Tribolium castaneum: one gene and its partner. The protein of the gene in region 1 interacts with the protein of each later gene in a biochemical or structural test. Links are inferred from orthologs where the notes say so. Each region holds a gene or a part of one and is shown in the gene's direction. Other genes may lie near its edges.

Region 1 (10,189 bases):
TAGAACCTCGATTATCCGTTTCTAGTCGTTTAATAGACTTCGCATTTTTTTGTTCTAATTCTAATTTTACCATTCGTAAGCGTTTAAGGCCACCGATGATTTCGAGTTTGTGTGAATATTTTGACACAGAAAGAAAAAAAATATTTCATTGAATTTGAATATTTTTCTCAAACAACTCCAATTTTTTTTTATAAAATGTATCATCTTCCATAAATCATTTTGAGAATGTCACAAAATTCGGAATATTGTTGTTCTCTCAAAGAAATATAGAAAATTGCAAAGTTAAATTTGGAAGGCGTTAATTTCGCCTGTTTTAATACATTTATATCATTTTTGAAATCTGAAAAACGCTCTGTTTTCTAAGGATTTAAGAAAATTTCCACAGAGAAAGGTCAGACTACTTTTTAAACCAGGATAGAATCTTGCACAATTAATAAAAAATGCAGTATTTTGGTCTATTTCGAGGTATTTAGAACGTTTAATACAATAAAAAAACTTTCATCGTACCAAATAAATAAAGACTGAATTGTAATTTATCCGACTTGGCTTTGCCCAAGACTGGGTAGGATAATAGAGGATCCACTGTATTTCGCCAAAATCATAATAGCCACAGCAGCAGCGTCCAACTTTCTTTGTCTTGCTTTTGCATTACGTTCCGTTTTAAAAACCTCAGTTTGACCTTAAAACACTGCTTCCACCATTACCATAAAACCACTCTGGCATTTTTTAAACTAGGCCAAAACAAACCGTGAATCACCACATTTTTCATCATCAGGCAAACCATCAATTTCTTACATAAATAAAAAAAGAATCACGGCAATTACACCGGAATAACGAGCCTAACCGAGCCTCAATTTTTTCCCTCCTCAAAAACCCAATCAAAAAACTCTCAGGTACGCCGAGATCACGAATGACCTCAACCAGCTGCACGCTGACTTTACCTTTTTTTCTCCTAATCCAAAGCAAGTAGAACATTGTAATTCTTCACCGAAATTCACGGAAAACAATGTACGGGTGACGTAGCTAAAAGCGCCATCAGATGCACAACATATGTGTTGTTGAGATGAAAGTTAACAAAGATCGCGGAGTCGACGACCATTAACTTCGAGGCCAATTTAAGCCAATAAGTTGAGGCATCGTGCCAAAAAAATACACACAGCGCGCTGTTATCGACGAAAGAATGCAATTGATAACAAACAATGTGTTTTGTGTGCCTTTATGGCCGGCTCCCACCCGTGCTCTTGACCTGTTGCGTTTTTCAAAGCCTTATCAGTAAAAATATGAAAATGACCCTTTATTAGACCGGTTTTGTTCCACGATTATCAATAAATGTTCTTCATTTAGAAGAGATAAACTTATTTGCAATTCAAGCACGATAATAGCTCTCGACTGACATTTACTTGAGCATGACATTAAAACAGTCGGAATTGAATTACAACAAAACAAATCCACCGTTTGCCAATAGTCCAACACGAATCTCCAGCCCATCCAATGGAACCAAACGGTGTTAGACCACGGTTTTAACAAGTCGTGGGCGTTTCCCATTGTCCCGGAAATGGTAAACTGACTGCATATCGTTCCAATGTTATGATAAGCAGCCAATTCGTTCGGATAAGTAAAGGAAGTGTCTCGTCATCAATATTCCGAGGTTACATTTTTCGAATAATTTGTAAGCAGGAGGCTACTTTATTTTAAGCATTCTTTCAATGGAGACATTGTACTCGAGTGATAAAACCCATCAATGGACTCGCACAAATCGGTGCTAAACCAGCTCATTGTAACAACTCGAAATAGATACAAAACAGGCAAAGGTTAGAAATGTGCCCCAAGTTTATCACAAACGCATTCCAGAGACGCGACGCAAACACAACTCGAATTTGAAAAACAGGACAATTTCCTATTACAGCCTTGCACCTGCAATTATGCTTGCATGTTCCTTAATAACGCAACAAATCAATAATAAACCCTTCGGTACTCAGCGGAACGATCACAAATAAAAGACCAACTCTAAAACATATTAAAGCAATTTCACTCGGATTAATAATGGTCTACAGGTGATGAGTTCCGGTACACTTGCAAAAAACGACAGGAAAAAAACATTACAAATGACCACAAGTGTGTGAAAATGCTAAAGAAGTCAACCGCGAAACGGAGAATATCATTATGTAACGAGAAAAACGTTCTTTGTTGAAAATTAAATTTCAAGTAATGATTTTCCGGATTTGTGCGCGCACCGGAAACAACCGGACTTTATTTTTAGATAGACGAATTTTCTACGTTTTACTCCACTGATAAGTGGCTCGCAATTAGATAGCTATTAGTAAACAAAAGTGTGATTCACATTGAGTCACATTTCAGAAGCGCTTATCACTGCATAACCCGAATTCTCGCCAAGTTTCTCATACAGGGTGTCTCAACTAAACAAAAAAACGAAAGTAGCTTAATTTTAATGAGAAAGTTGGCAGCTAAAAGTCAAAATTTTGACTGACTTGTTGGTCCCAAATTTATTCGCCAACCAAAACTCTGCATATAAAAATTTTTTGCTATATATACTTATTTATTTCGTCTTATTTCATATGTAGGGTAAAAATTACTGCTAAAAAACACTTTATTTGAAAATTTACGCTTATAGCGAACTGATTTTGATGTATTTCGTTATAACCGGACCCCACTGTAATAACGAGAATAGATCGGGACTGCTTTTCACGTTTCTGTCAATAATTTAAAAAGCGTCCTTCACGCAATATTACAATGTAAGCATAACAATTATTAATTTAATTGTCACGATTTAGAGCCGTAAACTTTTACTGGAGAATAACCGGTTGGGAGTCAAAATTAATCTTGAAACTGTCACAGCTTAGAACATTATCCGCACTACAAAGAGCCTATACATCACGAAACTAGTTGGAAATACCGTTGAACCCACCAAAAACTCACCTAAATTGAAACAAAGCTGCATTCGCTGGAAATCCTTGCGGTTATTTTAAAATTCGCAGCAGGTGGTATCTGGACTCGTTTAAAAACCCGGTTTACGCGTAAAAAACCTGGTTATTTTTAATTCGGGGGTAAAATCCCCTAGTCTAAATTTAGTTCGAACGGGAGGAAAGGAATTCATCGTGTTTCAATACGCGAGTATGTGGCCTTGGATTTGAATTTTTTACAGGCGCGTATTACATTGCAAGAAGACAGATAATAAACAAATTGCGTTTGAAATAAGCGATAACCGAACAATGCAAGTGCACCACAATGGTCGTTCCGTTGGGGATTTTCGGCACAGACATGTGGGTGCCACACCGACACCCTGACTCACCCTCGGACCCCAAGTCACGAATTCGCCCCTAATTACGGGGGACGTGCACTAACAAAGAACGCGGCCTAGCAACAGCCCCCAGCCTCAAGCATGGCCCCAATTTTTGAATTCTGCGACAACCGGCGCGCATCCCTCGACTCTAACGTCCCAAATCGCGAAAACTACGACATTTTCGCCGGCATTTGTTAGCGGAAATCGCCCCCCGGACCCAAAAATATGCTATTTAATTGACCACTTGGCCCAAAACTCACCTTATCCTCCTAAAATCCTATTTAAAACGAGCACAAATTCTACAACACAACGTTACCACACTACTTATTACAAACTTTTCTTTAACTAAAACGCGCATAATCTCGAATCAAAATGGCGGGCGCCCCACCATTATGCACCGAATGCCGCCCGCTGATTGGTCGGTTTGATTTAAGACGCTTTAGAATTGCCAACTGCTAAAAAACCACCCTAATAAAACTGTCAGGGTGTGGTTGGACTTGTTTATGGGTTTTAAACGATGAGACTCCAATTATACTCCCATAACGTTACACCGAATTACGGCCGGGCTTTACGTTCGCAAAAACCAACACAAAGTCGTTTCGTGCAAATGGGAAAAAAACAAAAGAAAAACGCTAATGGGACGACATCTGCAGGACTGTTAACACACTTTGCGAACACCTGTCCCACCTTGAAAAACACAATTCGGTAAAAATAGCCCAATGAAGGCAATAACGGGCCACCAAATGCCAAGCCACTCGTAAAATAATTATTTTCTGTGACAAAACTCCTTGTCGGTTTGTGCCACAAACAATTTATCGATTTTTTTTCATTACCATTATGCATTGTCTCATTATTACAGCAATTAATACGTAAATCGTCCCATATCTAAAAAAAAAAATTAAAAAAGTGTCCTTCCAGTTTTTATATTTACGATTGGTAGCGCTGTAATTTGACATCTGTGTTTTGACAGGTCCGATTTTTTCGAATTTTTGCCCAAAATAGCCCAGAATTACGGTAAATCCTCGTCATTTTCGCAATAACTCTCCATTTGTGATTAGCTTTTGCCCCCTTTTGCCGCAATGTCGAAGCCGGGGACCTCCGAAACCCAGGAACAAATCGCACAAAAAACCTGGGAAATGGCCAATAAAGTCGAACTGGTGAACTCGGTCGACGATATTTACCGCTACGACAAGAAGCAGCAGCAAGACATCCTCGCCGCGAAGCCCTGGGAGAAAGAGTAGGCAAAAGTCGGCCCTAACCTCACTTTACCTAATCTCAATTTCCAGCCCTCACTTCTTCAAAGATATCAAAATCTCGGCCTTGGCCCTCTTGAAAATGGTCATGCACGCGCGTTCGGGGGGCACCCTGGAGGTCATGGGCCTGATTTTGGGCAAAGTCGACGGAAACACAATGTTTGTGATGGACTCGTTTGCGCTGCCTGTGGAAGGGACAGAGACCCGAGTCAACGCACAAGCTCAGGCTTACGAGTACATGAGTTCGTACATCGAGGCTGCGAAGCTGGTGGGCCGCCAGGAGAACGCGATAGGCTGGTACCACAGCCACCCGGGATACGGGTGCTGGTTGTCTGGGATTGACGTTGGCACCCAGATGCTCAACCAGAATTTCCAGGAACCGTTCGTTGCCATTGTGATTGATCCTGTGAGAACCATTTCCGCGGGGAAGGTGTGTCTAGGGGCGTTCAGGACGTACCCGAAAGGGTACAAACCAGCAAATGAGGAACCGTCAGAGTACCAGACCATTCCTCTGAACAAAATCGAGGATTTTGGGGTGCATTGCAAACAATATTATTCGCTTGAAGTGTCGTATTTTAAATCGTCACTTGATAGGCGATTGCTTGATTCCTTGTGGAACAAATATTGGGTCAATACTTTGAGCTCGTCTAGTTTGTTAACGAATGCTGATTACACAACTGGGCAAATTTTTGATTTGTCGGAGAAGTTGGAACAGTCGGAAGCGGCCATTGGGCGCGGGGGGTTCATCGTAGGCGGCACTGATCCGCACGAAAAACGAACAGAAGACAAACTGTTGAAAGCTACAAAGGACAGTTGCAAGACTACGATTGAGATTATTCACGGACTGATGGCCCAAATGATCAAAGACCGGCTTTTTAACAGCACTTCCTTGAATAATTCGACCCATTAACGCGTTTTAATCTGTCTGATTTGTTTGGATTTAATAAATATTTATTTATAATCTAATTGGTGTGTTATTGGTTACCTAGTCCTAAAAAACTACGGATATCTAAAGGTTAGGATACGAAACGTCGTACAAATAAAACGTTCCCTTCCAAAGCAATGGATTTGAAAAAATTGTATTCGTATATCGGTTAACACAGCAAAAAAATACAGGCAAATGGAGCATTAAATTCTCAATAGTAAGACATAAACATAATGAAAAAAAAATACCGTAAACTACATTTAAAAAAATTTCAATCTTTGCCAATTAGCACTCTATCCCATATTTTTCAAAACGCTGGGAATACGATCAGCTTTTCTCAGTCTGTTCAGAGTGCAAAACTCAACATTCCTGCATTTTTTTTTTCAAGTAATTAGTGAATAATTGAATGAATTTAAATTAATTTAAAACGACTTGGCGCCGGTATAACGCTCGAAGTGCCCACATTTTTGCTTCACTTTTTGGGTCCAGAAAATCCCACGATTCTGCATCTCGTTCCGTCTCCTAAGTCATAGTCCTCCGTAGCAAAAACCCAACCGGATGCATTTATATTCCAGTGCAAACATTATGCAAACGATAATTGCGTCAAACACAAATTCTAGAATCAATCCTTTAAAAATAAAGATTTGTTGACACGTCGGAAGTACCAAACAAATTCTTGTTTTTCTAAGCCAGTTTCAAGGATAAGTGGTGCAGGGCAAATATTTTCCTCAAATATTTGCCTTTAATCTCCATATGCGATTCTGTTGACAAGTGAACGTGTTAAACCAATTAAAAACAGGCGGATTTGTTGGAGTTATGTTGTTCCGGGCCACTTTCATTTGTGCCGAAAATGTTTGGAAAGTGCTTAACTTTCGTCTCATGTCATAAATCATCGAATTTGAAGCTCCCGCCCCCGCTCGGCCAATCACAGCCGCGTCTGGCTGGGTTTTCCGCCTTATCGCATTGGCACGCCTGGAATCCGACATAACCCAATATTCTTGAGTGGTCCGTGGTTTGACTGTGGTGTTGTCTTGGTGGATTTCGGCGCATTTCGGCGAAAAATCCGCACTGTGGGTGCAAATTGGTGCAAAGCGCGCTCGCCTCACCCGTTTGGTGTTATGTTCAGTGCGAATCAGTGCGTGGTTTGAGGAGGAATCATGGCAGGAATCTTCGATATTGAGTTACACGACGGGCTGCCCCAGAGCTCCGACGACGAGGACGATGCCATAGACATCGCAGAGGTGATCAAATTGTCCGAACCGAGCCCCCGATCCGATTTCCCGTCCTAGAATCCGAGTCCAGTGTCACACCTTGTGGCATTTGCATCTTGTGCAATGCGAAATTTCTCTCGGTTTGACGCAGATTGAGAGGCTCCTGGAGCCGCATTGTCGAGTTGTGTTTTAAATCGTTGCGAAATCTTTGCAGGATCAATACGACGAGCAGCCAGATGTTTCCGACATGATTGAGTAAGTGTTGATAAGTTTGGGCGATAAGTTGGTTGTTTTCATTGATAACGTTTAGCACGGCCGACACCGAGCGGGTACAGGTGGACGAGCAGAGCGTGAACAAGGGGAAGAAGATCGGGAACGAGGATTTCCGCATACTCAGCGTCTTGGGGAAAGGGGGCTACGGCAAGGTGTTTCAAGTGATCAAAGAGACGGGAAGCGATAAGGAAAGCATTTACGCGATGAAAATCCTACACAAGGCTTCCATTGTACGCAACCAGAAAGACACTGCACACACTAAGGCTGAACGCAATATTTTAGAAGCTGTCAAGCATCCTTTTATAGTCGAATTAATTTACGCCTACCAAACGAACGGCAAACTCTATTTAATACTAGAATTTTTACAAGGGGGCGAGCTCTTCACCATGCTGGAGAAAGAGGGGCTCCTGTTAGAAGAAACAGCCATGTAACCAACCACTGTTTAAAATCCCCCAAATAATTCTCTCAATTCCAGTTTTTACCTATCTGAGATTTTACTCGCCATAGAACATTTGCATTTTCTCGGGATCGTTTACCGGGATTTGAAGCCGGAAAACGTCCTGTTAGATTCTAAAGGTCACGTTAAATTGACCGATTTCGGATTGTGCAAGGAACATATCAGGGATGGTGTTTTGACGCATACTTTTTGCGGAACAATTGAATACATGTGAGTGCTAAAAATGCCAAAAAATCCGACTTATCATTGGTTTAGGGCGCCTGAGATTTTGACGAGGAGTGGGCACGGGAAAGAGGTGGATTGGTGGTCGTTTGGGGCTCTGGCCTACGACATGTTGACGGGAGCTGTGAGTATTGAATGCGGGTGGTTATTGAATTGAGCATTGACGTCATTTGATTTCTTTATTGTTGTGTGGTGAGATGCCATCAGTTAGGGTTCCATTGACTTAAGTACATAGTTACAAGAAATCGATTTTAATGAGGATCTTACGATTGAAAGTATTTAAATGGTGATTTTTCAATGTCATATTTGTTTGCTGATGGAACGGCTTAGTTTTAATCTCGAGAGATAAGGTCGCAATGACCTTGACTTTTCCTAAATTATATCGCGCCACACTAATTAATGAAGTGTGTCGAATCGTAAATATTTTTATAAAAATTTGCACAATTTAATTTAATTTCAATTTTTAATGCACTACTTTAAAAGGTAAGTAGGTCATTTTTTAATAAAGTGAGTCTCACCGTTTATTTTTTTCCGAATAAAATGTTTTGTGTTAATTTACTCTCAAGGCGAGGCAAGTATTATTATTTTTTGCGCTCTATCGAAATAATGGTCAGCGTTTTAGCATCATTGTTCAATTATTACACGAACAAAATAGTTTTGATCCGAATTTAATAGACTGGAACTTGACGTTTTCATTCCGTAATTTTCGCACTTCGTAAATGTGATGAAAATAGTAATTTATTGATCCATGAAACGTTTTATGAATATTATCGAGGTCGTAAAAAATAAATGATTTCTAATAAAAGCTGAGTTCCGTATTTACGTGGAATTAAAGAGTCTGCTCTAGCGTTTTTAATCAAGAAGCACACGATTTTAAACTTGTTTTGGACAAAAAAAATAAAAACTGCCAGTGCTAATTATTTTATTTTTAATAGTTGCAATTTTTAAATGTTTTATTCTGGAAAAGATCGCACTGTTTTTTAGTGCTTTGCAATCTAAATGATAAGAAATGAAATTTTGTAAAGGTTGAATGACCGTTTTTTTTGTTTATGTATGAGTACATGATTGTTTTAGGCGAAAATTATACAAATAATTATTCATTGCATTTTAAACGAATGTCACTAAAGGAAAACGTGGATAGGTCTTACGATTCTTTGGGGAACAACTGTCCGCGTTGAAAACATGCAAACGCAATTAATTCGTGGTTTAAAATTTTTGTGTTTTGATACAAATCGTTATCTATCGATGATTAATTGCGTCCTTGTTGTAATGTTATTTAGATAAGAGTGTTGTGTAATTTCTCTCACTGAATTTCAGCCACCGTTTCAAGGTGATACTCGTAAAAAGACAATAGAGAAGATTCTCCGAGGTAAATTATTCCTTCCGCCGTACCTAACCCAAGACTCCAAAGATTTAATTCGCAAATTATTGAAACGTCAAGTCAGCGCCCGTCTGGGCACTGTCGAAGGCGCCTCGGCAATAAAAAATCATCCATTTTTCAAGAACGTCAATTGGGACGACGTTCTCGCCAAACGAATAACGCCACCAGTGCCCGAAAGTATGCTAAAAAAGAAAGAGGACGACACGTCCAACTTTGACTGCAAATTCACCAAACAAACGCCGGTCGACTCGCCCGACGACTCGACCCTGAGCGAGAGCGCCAACGAAGTCTTCAAGGTGGCGAACATTCATAGCTTGACAAAACCGAGCCAAATAACCGAAATTTCAGGGTTTCACCTACGTGGCGCCCTCTGTCCTCGAGGACATGTACAAGAGCAGCGTCAAGAGCCGGCCTCGACGCCAGCAAAGCCGTCTCGAGACGCGCACGCCCTCTCACATCGTCGACCACAACTACGTCAACAACCACGGCGAGCAATTTCGGGTGGATAACACGTACTTGAATAATCACGTGGCCGCAGGCCCCGCCCGCTTCGAGCCGTACAACCAATTGGACAACCACGTCCGGGGGATTCCCATGAATGTGAACAATCACGTGATTGCGGGCCCCGCCCCTCGGGTCATCAACCACTTTGAGCCGTTCGGCCAATTGGATAATCATGACGCTGTGATGGGCGGGCCCTCGATGGATACGAATTCGGTTAGGTTAGATAATTACACGGGGGCGGCACGGCCGCCCCCGCCGTTTCAAGTCCGCAATGCGAATAACGACGACTTGATGTTTATCGATCGCAGGCTTTCGATGATGGATGTCAGTCATGATCTACCTCCTGTATAATAGTGTGGCATTTTTGGGTTCAAACGCAATGTTTAGTTCAATTTTGTTTATATAATTTATTTGTTGTGGTTACCAATAGTTTAATCGAGAGGAAAGTGGACGTTGAGTGATTTTAACTTAATTAGAGAATTATAGTTAGGTCAATTTTTTCTTTTCGTTACCAATATTATTTAACCTTGCCGCGGATAACATTATGATGATTCTCGAGATTTGATTTCTTCGTGGAGAGATGTCGTAGGTTAAGGTTCGTTGTTTGGTCAAGTGTGTAGTGCACTCGGAACGCATTGTAGAATTGTAAAAATTAATTGTTG
Region 2 (11,000 bases), on another chromosome or scaffold:
GAAACTGAGCACTATGCTGGGGGCGCCCGTGTAGTCATCGACACACTCCGCGTTGATCATCTGTTGGATTTGAGCACCAGCTTCCAGGACCGGCTCAACAGGCTTCATCTGAATGGTGAGCTTGGAAGCCTGATCGTCGGGCCAAGACAAGGTCGGGACGAAATTTTGCAACGGAACGTTAGTCTTATTTCCGTAAAACAAGCCAAGTCGGCCCAAATTCTGGCGGAACTCGCTTTTAACGCCTATCTGGATCAAGTCACTTTCGAATAAAACGCCGTTGTTTTTACACACGAACCTGAAAGAACACGATTCAAATAATTACCACCGGGTGCAAACAACGTTTTTACTTCTTGGGGTTGTACATGTTGACCGGTTGAGTGGCACTGTTCGAGTTGTTCGCCTGTTTGCCCCCGTAGATGTCCCCAAGGACGTCCAGGAGCACCCCGGTGTTTCCGGAGTTGGGCTGCGCTGTTGGCGGAGTCGACAGACCCAACAAATCGCCAGAGACAGCACTGCTGTTATTTACATCGTTGTTGTGGTTGGTCACAGGTGTGGGACTTTTGTTCTCCTTAATTTCATTTTCTGGGACCCGTCCTGGTTTTTTCTTCTTCAAAACAGCAAGAATCGAGCTCTCTCGTTCGGGGAACGCCGGCATTTCCTCCAATACTGTGGCCAAAACGTCCGAACTTGCAATAATACTCAATTGCAAATATTCCGAAGCTCGTTGTTGCAATTCGGCGTCAGCCGACCTCAGGTTGCTGTGCTGTTTGAAAACTTCCTGTACTTGAGTCCGTATTTCGGGGAACAAATTGATGAATTTGATGTAAGTCGAGAGTAACAAAGCTCGAGTCATCGGCGAACATAAGTGGTATTTTGAGTGGAGAAGTTGGAATTGAACTGAGGGTGAGGATCTCTGATCCCCGGCGATTAAATTGCCAAACTCTCCCAGGATGTAACCCCCGACTTTGACCATGTTCTCGTGACAGGCGGGTGCTTGCAAAGCCTTCAAAAAAATTGTTAGCTGAATTATGGACTCAAATGAGACCTACTTCAAAGACAGTTTTAGCGGCGTAACCTTGCACTTCATCTCGGTTGATAACGATTTGGATCACTCGATACCACACCTCTTCCGACACATAATCGCCAGCGATTCTTATCAAATTTAAAATAACATCAACATACCTGACAAAAAACGTAAAAAAGTGTTACGAAAATCAGGCTTGGTTTACCAAGTGTAATCCGTGGCGTATTTCTCGGCCAAAATCGCAACTTTTAGGACCATTTCTTCCCTAATTGAGTAATCAGCCGTTTCCAAATAATTCAACATTTCTTGGACGATTTCCTCAGCATTGCTCTTATCACACATAGCGTACAACAAATCAACGGCTTGTTGCCTCACTGAAACATCTTTTTCCATCTTCATCGACAAGATAACAACTTCCTGATGTTTCTTAACAGCCTCGTGGGAAAATTCAGACGTTGCTAAATGACACATCGACTCCAAAGCCAAATAACGTAAATTTGTTTCTCTATTACTCAAAAATTGGCCCAACTGGTTACAAGCACGCACCAACAAATTCGCTTCGCTGTATACATAACAAAATGAGACTTTTCAAATTTCAAAATAAATAAATATACCTGTCATTGTGAATAATTAAACTAATGGCCTCGAACAGTACGGCATTTTTAGCATTTGAGTGTTGCACTTTCTTCGATTTTGGAGGCTCCTGCGCTTTATTCAATATCGTTTCTAGGCATTCGTTCAAGCGGCCGCGCACCCCCGGGTCTTCAGCTAAGAATTCATAAAACTTTGGAGCAAGTGTAACAAAAAAAAGTGAAAAAATGAATCAAGTTTCAACCACGGTCCCTTAACAATTGTTAAGAAGAAAATTATGACAAACGCCAAACCATATACATTTAGTTTTAGCAGTGTTTTTATTTTATTTCTTCCCTTTAAGTACTGAATTTTTTTTACATAAAAATTGTTGACTTAGACGTTTTTCTTTTCAAAATTGCAATTAAAGTCATCTAATCCATTAAATTGTCTATAAATCTAAAAAAAAACAGATATTCCGTCGAAAATTAAGTTTAAGATTTGTGAAGCGTCCTTCTTAACTAAACGATTCCAAAAACTATTATATCATACCTCATTTTACAAAATCGGTTGGCTAGAGTAAGTGTTTCTTAATGGGTGGTTCGCCAAAAAAAAGTAGTGTAATGGCGAAATTTTAAAACGCTAACGTAAAAAATTACAAAATATCATCGTCAACGTGGGCTACAAATTGTTTGTGTACTGTTTTAGTCCCGATTTTTTTTTTTAATTAGTTACGTTTTCAATCTGAAGATTCATCAAAATTTGCATTATTATCGAACACCTGAAGACGATATCACCGTTGTGTGTTTATAAAAACAGAACCCAATGTTTAATAATAGGAACAGGCATAGAACTGTACAATATTATGGGCAAAAATAAGTTTTTCGTACGCTTCTACTGAAAAAAGTTAAAGTCAAAGTCAAACAATAAATAGATATTATGAAGATTGGCTATCAATTTTCAACAATTTTTTCGAACTGTTAAGGGCTTCAAATTGATGCAAGTTCTAAATTATTTTCCAGCCTTACTTCAAAAATAAAATAGGCACTTTTTTCTACTCCTTCATAAAGTGCAATGCAATCAGTCACCTTCATTTAATTTAATTACTTTCTATTTCACATGATTATTTTCCATCTTCGTTACTTTCTTGTTAAAAATTGGAAATTGCAGTGTTTAGTAAGCCCTTTTTGTCTCCACATTTACATCAAAAGCTGTTATGGATACCAAATTAGTCTATGTTGTTGTGCTTTCGTTTCTAGATTTTCAAATAGGATTTTTTTACAAACACTTAATGGCATTTTGTCAAAATAAATCAACACTGAAACTGACTTCCTTTACTAAAATTACTACAAATAATTTGGCTATGGTGACAACGTTAAACTATTTAACACGCCTGATTAAAAAACATCCCCTACATAATATTTACTAATAAAAATACTAAATTCTTAGTTGTTTTTTTTTAATTTATTCATGCAACATTAATATTTAAAATATGCAATAAGACAAACAAATAAAATAAAGAAATATATTATATATTCTATAAATTTATAAAGGGTTCGCAAGGTGAAAAGGTGGGAACTTAAAAACTAGCAACAAATTATTCTAGACTTTTGAATAAGTTAATAATTTCTGAAATTTATTAAGTTGTAACATAAATCCAATTTCCAAAAGTTACTCTTGATTTTTTTGTTTTGAAGAAAGTAGAAAAAGTTATTTCCCCCCTTTACACACGTTTCAGTTCGGGTTCAAATAACTTTGAACAGTGTCTTTGATGTAAAAATGTTTCATTTAACTCATTTGCATTTGAAAAAATCACATAGAATTTTTTCGAGTGTTTGGTCTGCGGCTAAAACTTGATATACGTAGTACTATAATCCGGCGTCAATTGTGACCTAATTTAGTTTGGCAGGTTATCAAACGAAATCAACTGCGATTTTGCATGACCTTTCAACTTGTTATTTGAGTAAAATTATCATGCAATTTAAATTTGAGTGATTGATTTTTTTCCTATGTCGCACCTACCTGGCGGGGTATAATTTTGCAAGAGACGTAGCAGTTTGACGGAGAGCCAGGGCGCTGGTACGAAATAATATGTGTAGTCTTGTAAATCGGTGTAACTTGCCGTCACGATCTGTATTTTTTTGTAAAATATTTGCAGTTATCTCAATAAACAACTTACTCTACTTAGGCGCGAAACGGCGAGGGAAACGCAGCCTTTGTACTCCTCAGGGTTCTTCTTAACTAATGCGTCTATGAGACTTGTCGCGGCTGTCACAACCCCCATGTGTTGGTCATTGAGGAGGTGTATGATGCGTGAAGTCCACTCCCCTCCGGGGATGATTTCCTGCGACGTTCTGAACAAACGCAGAAGACAGAGAGCTGCACTTTGCTTAACTACATCCATGGTGTCGCCCGAGACGAGAAGTTTTGGTATTTCGTTACCAAAGGCTTCGGCCATTTCCCTGCTGCCGATGTTGGCAATACATTGCAATGCCAAGTTCACGTGAATTGGGTTTCTCGAAGCCAAGTCATTTTTAATACTTTGAATTATGAGTTTGATCAGCTCACTATTAGTGTTGACTAGCACTGAAATAAATAAATATCCCTACAAAAAATACAGTCAAATGCAGAAGCGTCCTCCGATCGACTCACTATTTGCTTTTCGGAGTATTTGTTGGATGATAGGAGATTTACAGCTTCCATATGCCCGAAGTCAATGTCATGCCCGAGTAAGAATATGAAGAGCAGCTTGCACACGTACTTCTTCTTCTGGTACCCATCCAGAGTCTTGTCCCCCTTGAACTTGCTCCGTATATTCGCGAGCTCCTTGTTAATGCGCTTGATCTCGGCTTCTTTGCTTTTACCTGGCAACAGAGTTTGAGTCACGGGCACCGGAACGGGCAAAATTCTTACAATTTCTTATATCGGAAATAAATACGGCCAAGCCACGCATGCCATCTCCTCGCACTGCCGGCATGTTGGCTGAAATCGCTTCGTTCCTCCAAAATCCTCCTCTGAAAAACGACCCCGGTCAGAAACAACCCACTTCACCCCTATTAAAAATCAAAAAACTGCGAAAGGTCACCAGTGACCCTCCCCCTATACTATTGCGGTTTTTGACAGATATCGGCTACATGTACGGGAAAAGAAACGACTCACTCACAACTTTTCTTTAAATATCCGATTTCCACAATTATTTATCTACACAAACAAGCGATAAATACGGTCAATTGTCAACAAAATATCTTTTTACACACCAATCTTTGCCACTCCACATATACATGGGCAAATTGACAGGACGAGTTTGCGGCTAGAGGACGCCCCGAACGCTGCCTATCAAAATTATCCAAAAAGGAAATCACCAAGACAAGTTTAATCAATTTTTGCGCAAATTGATATCACTTGCGTTTTTCTATCCATTTAACAATTTTCGACTCAGGCGGTAGTTTTATGAAACAATAAATAGTAAAAATTAAAAAAATTTAATGCGTGGTGTATCGCTGTAATTGATTTAAAAACACATCAATTAGCAAGAACAATAGATTATATGCAGCGTGGGCCAAAATACGATATTTGTTTGCCACAACTGCGCCAATAATAATCAAAAAATAGGCGTTTTTTTGTATCGTATCAACTTAATTGTGTGTATTTTTGGTTGCATAACACTCAAAAGAATGCAATTTTTAATTATTCATTTATCATTTATCAACTAATCTTTCAATAACAATTCTGCGTATTAAGCCAGTGCTAAAAACCAAATTAAAAACTCGTAATTTTTATCTCTGGGGAACGTAATACGCACGATATGAAACAGGATGCAATGCAGCAGCCTATCAAATACCGTTGCATTATGCTTGACCGGAGAGCAAAAAAGGAGAATCATTAATTACAACTGTAATAGTTTCAATGACCCATAGTTGTGCAACCGAAACTATTGTTACAATAAATTAAAAAACATTCTTAATACATTTTGGCCCCTTTTTTGATTCATTTCAGGGTCAATCAATAGTATTAAAATTGCATTTTTTCTCGTTTCCTATGATTTGCTTGGTATTTGTAGTCCGGTTCGCAATTTTGCGTATGCGCATTTAGGTTTCTCTTGCATGTGGTATTAGAGTTGCCGTTTTAGCACTTAGCATCAGTTGTCTCATTCTGTTGCAGACGAGAAAAGAAATAAGAAACTGAGCTAGTGACGTAATGAGTAATGTAATAATAATGTAAACTGAAAGCAAGTGTTAAACGCGGGCCAAAAATTAAGCGCCAGTTTGTTGAAGTTAGTTTTTGCGGAAGCAAGTGTTAAATAATGGTGGGGCTTTCCACGGGACACATATTCTCCACAAGTTCGTCGAAAGAAGGTATTTTGATTTAGTGCACTTGAAAACATATATTTTTTATCACCAAAAGTATTTTTTTTTCATAGCGGACCAGCCATAATTTTGGAGAAAATATGCTTTTACAACATAAGTTAAAACTGTCAATAACATATTTTACCTAATACCAAATAAGCAGTAGAAAAACAATAGAAATATAATCATTAATTAAATAATGTAAAAAAAATTGTTCCCGCTTGCAATTAGATATGTCCCGCCCTCTGTAATTCAGGGGTATTACTAAATGTGGGATACTGTGCAATTTTATTATGTATTATTGATTTTTATTAATTTTATTAAATTATAACAATTAAGACAAGTCGGAAATGTATTAAATTAACGCAAAATACGTTCAACGAGTGCACGTCTGTTTTTTTTGAAAAAAAATTCCCACTTATTTGGCTAAAAAAACCAAAAATGGTATTCTCAAGAGAGACGCCAAATTTAAGTGTTAAAAAAATAAATACTTTAACCGATATTATATTATTTGTATGTGTTATGCCAAATATGAAAGCAAAATAAACACCAAAGCGTTACCACTGAAGATATTATTGCATGACCATTTAATTACAGGTTTCTGTAAATCCATATTGAATGTAAACAATATAATATACGTTAAACGGATGTTTTCGCTTATCTTCTGTTCAGTTTTTAGAGCACGCGCGAGGGAGTACTTAAAAGTATGCCTCGTTCTTTGTGTAAATAAAGAGAAAAGTGTTGCGCTGTTATCATGTTATCAATGATGAAAACCAGGGGTGGATCCAAAAATATTTTTTTTTGGGGGGAGGGGGGTGGTGCTAAGCTAAACTTCAGCTGTCGGTATGTTAAAATATTTAAATTAATTTTTACAAAGTTTAAGCCGAAATATTTTTTTATTTATTTTTATTTATGTATTATTTATTTATTTATTTTAGTTAATAAATAAAATACTGTACTCCAGCTCTATAGCTTAGTTATTAGTAAAGGTAAACTACGACGCATTTCAAGAAAAAATTTTTAATTAATTCCTAAAGAATATGACGTAATTTATTATTATTATTATTATTATTATTATTATTATTATTATTATTATTATTATTAATTTATTAATAAATGTTTATCAAAAAGGTTTCTAATGTTATTATTTAAAAAGCATTTTTTATCAAGTTTTTATATTATTTAAAAAAAATAAAATTGAAGTGTGGGAGACATTTTATTAATTGTAAAAAATGTAACTATATTTCAACAATTTTTACATTTTTTATTTGTTGTTTAGCTGAAATTAGTGGAATTTATGTTTTTTTCAATCCAAATTTGAGGTGGTTGGTTATGCAACTCGCGCTATTGACTCGCAGTGAAATGTTCCGACGAACACGTTTTCTGTCAAACCATTTGACATTAGTTCTCGTCCACTTCTGTCGGACGTCAATGGTTTTCTTCAGCGGCGGTTTTCAACAACAAATTAAGATCTATGCAATTATTTTTTACAAAAGTTAGATTTCTTCCACTTATTTGTATCGAAAAGTCTACTCTGCACGAACATTTCCGGGGTTTTTATGCGTCCCCAAGGTAGGCTTCTAGTGTCAACCATAATCATCTATTTTTGTTTTTGTTATTGTTTATTTACAAAATCGGTAACAGCACGCTTTCAGCAATCACTGTCTTATCACTTGCATCGTTTCGTCCACTTCCCGAGATGCGAGACTGTTGACAATTTTGTATTTATGGTGGTCATTTTTGTAGTTGGAGATATGTCAGGGTTAGCCACAACAGCACCCTCATCGGCTGACGCTTGCCTGAGCATTGTGCACAGTCTCATGTGCCACAGACAAGGGGGAGAAAGCGAAGGCTTCGCCAAACGTGCTATAGAGTCCCTGGTGAAAAAGCTAAAAGAGAAAAGGGATGAACTAGACTCGCTTATCACTGCTATAACCACCAGTGGGGCACATCCGAGCAAGTGCGTCACGATCCAGAGGACTCTCGACGGCCGCCTGCAGGTACACACAAGCTTTCCTTGCAATTCTCTCAAGCGTTGTTGCTACAGTTTCTGTGTTGTTTAGGTTGCCGGACGCAAGGGCTTTCCGCACGTTATCTACGCTCGAATCTGGCGATGGCCCGACCTCCACAAAAACGAACTCAAACACGTGAAATATTGTCAGTTTGCGTTTGATTTAAAATGTGACTCAGTATGTGTGAATCCGTACCATTACGAACGGGTAGTGTCCCCCGGCATTGACCTCTCTGGACTTACGTTGCAATCTGGAACCGCTCGATTAGTGAAAGATGAGTACACCGCTGGACCGGTCCCTGGAGGCAGTATGGACGTAGACAGCGAAATCGGCATTGAAGTCTCCCAGACCATCCAACACCAGCCCCCACAGCAGAATTTCGCCCTGAGCGGACTTCAGGCACCTTCCACAAGTAAGCTGCGTGTTCTCACTCACTAGTCTATTGTATTCTCTGATTCGAAGACTTTTTATTTTAAGAACCCACTTTTCGTATTTTTAGTTATGCATGTTATGTTTTCGTTGTTGTGGTAGGTGAACAGGGAATGTATAATTCACCAAACAGACCAGTTATGGGACATCCCGTACCTAAAATTGAAGGGGGAGTTGACGCATGTTCCAGATCTAGTTGGTTACCGCACATGCATATACCTCATCGTAAGATTCTTTTTGTTTTATTTTGCATTTTCTCAAAGCACTGTTGTGTTACTCGTATTGTAGGTTTAGTCTAGTTCGTACAAAAAAACGCCCGTCTCAGTGTTACTACTATTGCATCGTTTTAAATATTTTTCTTACACCTTAACTTCAAATTTCCACTTAGTAAATGCTTTTCCGGTGACTTCATTTTATCGATTGTACTCAATGTTAGTGTTCAGTTAATTGCTACGTGAAGATAAAGTAGTGAGTTCTTCCAACAAACACACAAGATTTGGTGTTTATACCGGGTGTTCCAGCAACTTGGTAAAGATGATTTAAAATTACCGAATAATTGTTTTGTTTTCAAAATGCCAACACTAAATTATTTCAAAATGTACCTTCAGTTTAACTTTATAAGTTAAGTAGAAACGAAAATCGTGAACAAAATAAATAATTTGATCCCTCATTATATTATGAATTATTAAATTATAAAATACAGCAAGCGTTCTTTTATTAAAAACGATAGAAGTGTACATAATTTATTATTTGTCGACGTTTTTAAATCCCGAACGACTGTTAATATTCTAAACTCAAAAAAACTTTTAAAGGTAATAGATCACCTGGAATTATTATCAGTTAGCGGGGTGTTCGACAATTTTCGAAACATTATCTCACTTGGGCTAGATTACAAATTTAAATATAAAAAATATTTGATTTCATTTTTGACGTTTAGTTTTTATTATTGGTGATGTTGAGCTAAACTTTTATTGATCGATTTTTCTTAGTTCTGTTACAAAAACGGAGTTTTCCAAAAAAATACTACAAAAATAATATTTTCACTTGGAGTAAACTAGCGAGTTGGTTTTTAGTACTTATTATTCTTTTCTGAGAACAACCAGTAATGTACTCTGGGCAGGGTCCACACTCAGTCTGTAGCTGTACCTGTGTTCACACTTCGGTTACAAAGGTCGTAAATTGTAAAAGATCGCGTGGCTAATATTTTAATCTCTTAAATTTGTGAAAGTTTTCTTTGAAAGAAGTCAATAATCTTATTGTTCCCTGAACTGTGCCTGATAGGTACTTAGAAATTAGAAACCAGGATTCAGGTATAAGGAAGTTCCATTTTATCAGTGTCTGGAAACAACAGAATACAATGTAGGTCTAATTTCATAGCTTAAGATGTTTCGTTACAACAGTCAGAAAATTTACAAATTGATACCAAATATACAGTACACATCAAAAGTCTGGAATAAAATTAAAATTTTTTTGGAGGACCATTTTGTAACCTATTATTTTATAAATATAAAAATTGTATAAAATAAATAAACTGTTTCATAATACATTATTTTGTCTGATTACTGTTGATATTTCTCTAAAATTTTTATACACGGTAGTGAAGTTACATTAAAAACTGAAAAAAAAAACAATTGCTGCATCGATACTTCTATTTATATGGAGTTGATGAAATCAAACAAATTTATTTTCTGATAAAACTAAAATTTTGAAAACAATTATTTTTCGGATTTAAGAGATTTATTAGATATGTACGCACATTCACAATCACTTACGGGGAAAAAAAATATAGATTGATTTTATGTAATATTTTGTTTCTTAACAAATATTTATTTTGGTGACAATGCTTTCATTTTCGTGACAGCTTATAATTATTTACTACAAGACACAAAAATTAGAATTAAATGAACAGGAAAGTTTCGGCGACGCTTTGAACGAAAAAAAAAAATTCTTTAAAGGTAGTAATAATATTTATTGTGTGAGTGAGTTTGAAGTAGTATTTTTTAGAGACGCGTGTTTTATTTAAATTTTGTGCAAATTACTGTTATTCATCTTCTAATTGTAACCGATATTAGGTGGGAGTAACCCTCCCGTGTCGCCCCATTTGCAACAAAACGGGTTCAACAACTCCACCCATACGACAACTGCTGTTGTTAACAACAACGGTGGTACCATAAGCGGCAGCCAACCCGCGGCTACGGCTACCATGGGCCAATCGTTCACTGGGGCTGGTGGTACTTGGACAGGATCTAATACGTTAACCTACACCCAATCAATGCAGCCCCCTGATAACCGCACCCATCACACAGCTTACTGGAACACAAACCAATGCAACGACGTAAACATCGCTGGTCTGTTGTCCACCCAGCCAGCCCCCGAGTACTGGTGTTCCGTCGCCTACTTCGAGCTGGACACTCAAGTGGGTGAAACGTTCAAAGTACCCTCAAGCTGCCCGAATGTGACAATTGACGGCTACGTCGACCCCTCTGGAGGCAACCGGTTTTGCCTTGGTGCGTTGAGTAATGTGCACAGGACGGACCAAAGCGAGAGAGCGAGACTGCACATTGGCAAGGGGGTTCAGTTAGATTTAAGGGGCGAAGGCGACGTTTGGTTGCGCTGCTT

The links.
Region 2: the proteins of CSN5 (region 1) and Med form a complex in vitro, tested with the Homo sapiens proteins (2 studies listed by BioGRID). The link is inferred for Tribolium castaneum from reciprocal best matches to the Homo sapiens genes COPS5 and SMAD4.

What each region holds. Positions count from the first base shown.
Region 1 is NC_087395.1:23,650,439-23,660,627, reverse strand, and holds CSN5 (COP9 signalosome complex subunit 5), read left to right. Parts: upstream 1-3,994; 5' UTR 3,995-4,315; exon of another isoform or gene 4,316-4,359; 5' UTR 4,360-4,380; coding exon 4,381-4,538; intron 4,539-4,587; coding exon 4,588-5,464; 3' UTR 5,465-5,520; downstream 5,521-10,189. Other genes in the region: S6k (ribosomal protein S6 kinase beta-2), read left to right, coding at 6,637-6,720, 6,905-6,945, 7,001-7,390, 7,439-7,630, 7,676-7,766, 8,960-9,319, 9,372-9,878. UniProt on the Homo sapiens protein: Probable protease subunit of the COP9 signalosome complex (CSN), a complex involved in various cellular and developmental processes.
Region 2 is NC_087403.1:6,337,617-6,348,616, reverse strand, and holds the start of Med (mothers against decapentaplegic homolog 4), read left to right. Parts: upstream 1-5,711; 5' UTR 5,712-5,897; coding exon 5,898-5,949; intron 5,950-7,316; exon of another isoform or gene 7,317-7,499; coding exon of another isoform or gene 7,500-7,512; intron 7,513-7,595; exon of another isoform or gene 7,596-7,667; coding exon of another isoform or gene 7,668-7,686; coding exon 7,687-7,940; intron 7,941-8,003; coding exon 8,004-8,364; intron 8,365-8,483; coding exon 8,484-8,606; intron 8,607-10,453; coding exon 10,454-11,000. Other genes in the region: AP-2alpha (AP-2 complex subunit alpha), read right to left, coding at 1-295, 348-1,003, 1,050-1,182, 1,230-1,586, 1,639-1,792, 3,617-3,725, 3,774-4,199, 4,247-4,458 and 1 more. UniProt on the Homo sapiens protein: In muscle physiology, plays a central role in the balance between atrophy and hypertrophy. When recruited by MSTN, promotes atrophy response via phosphorylated SMAD2/4.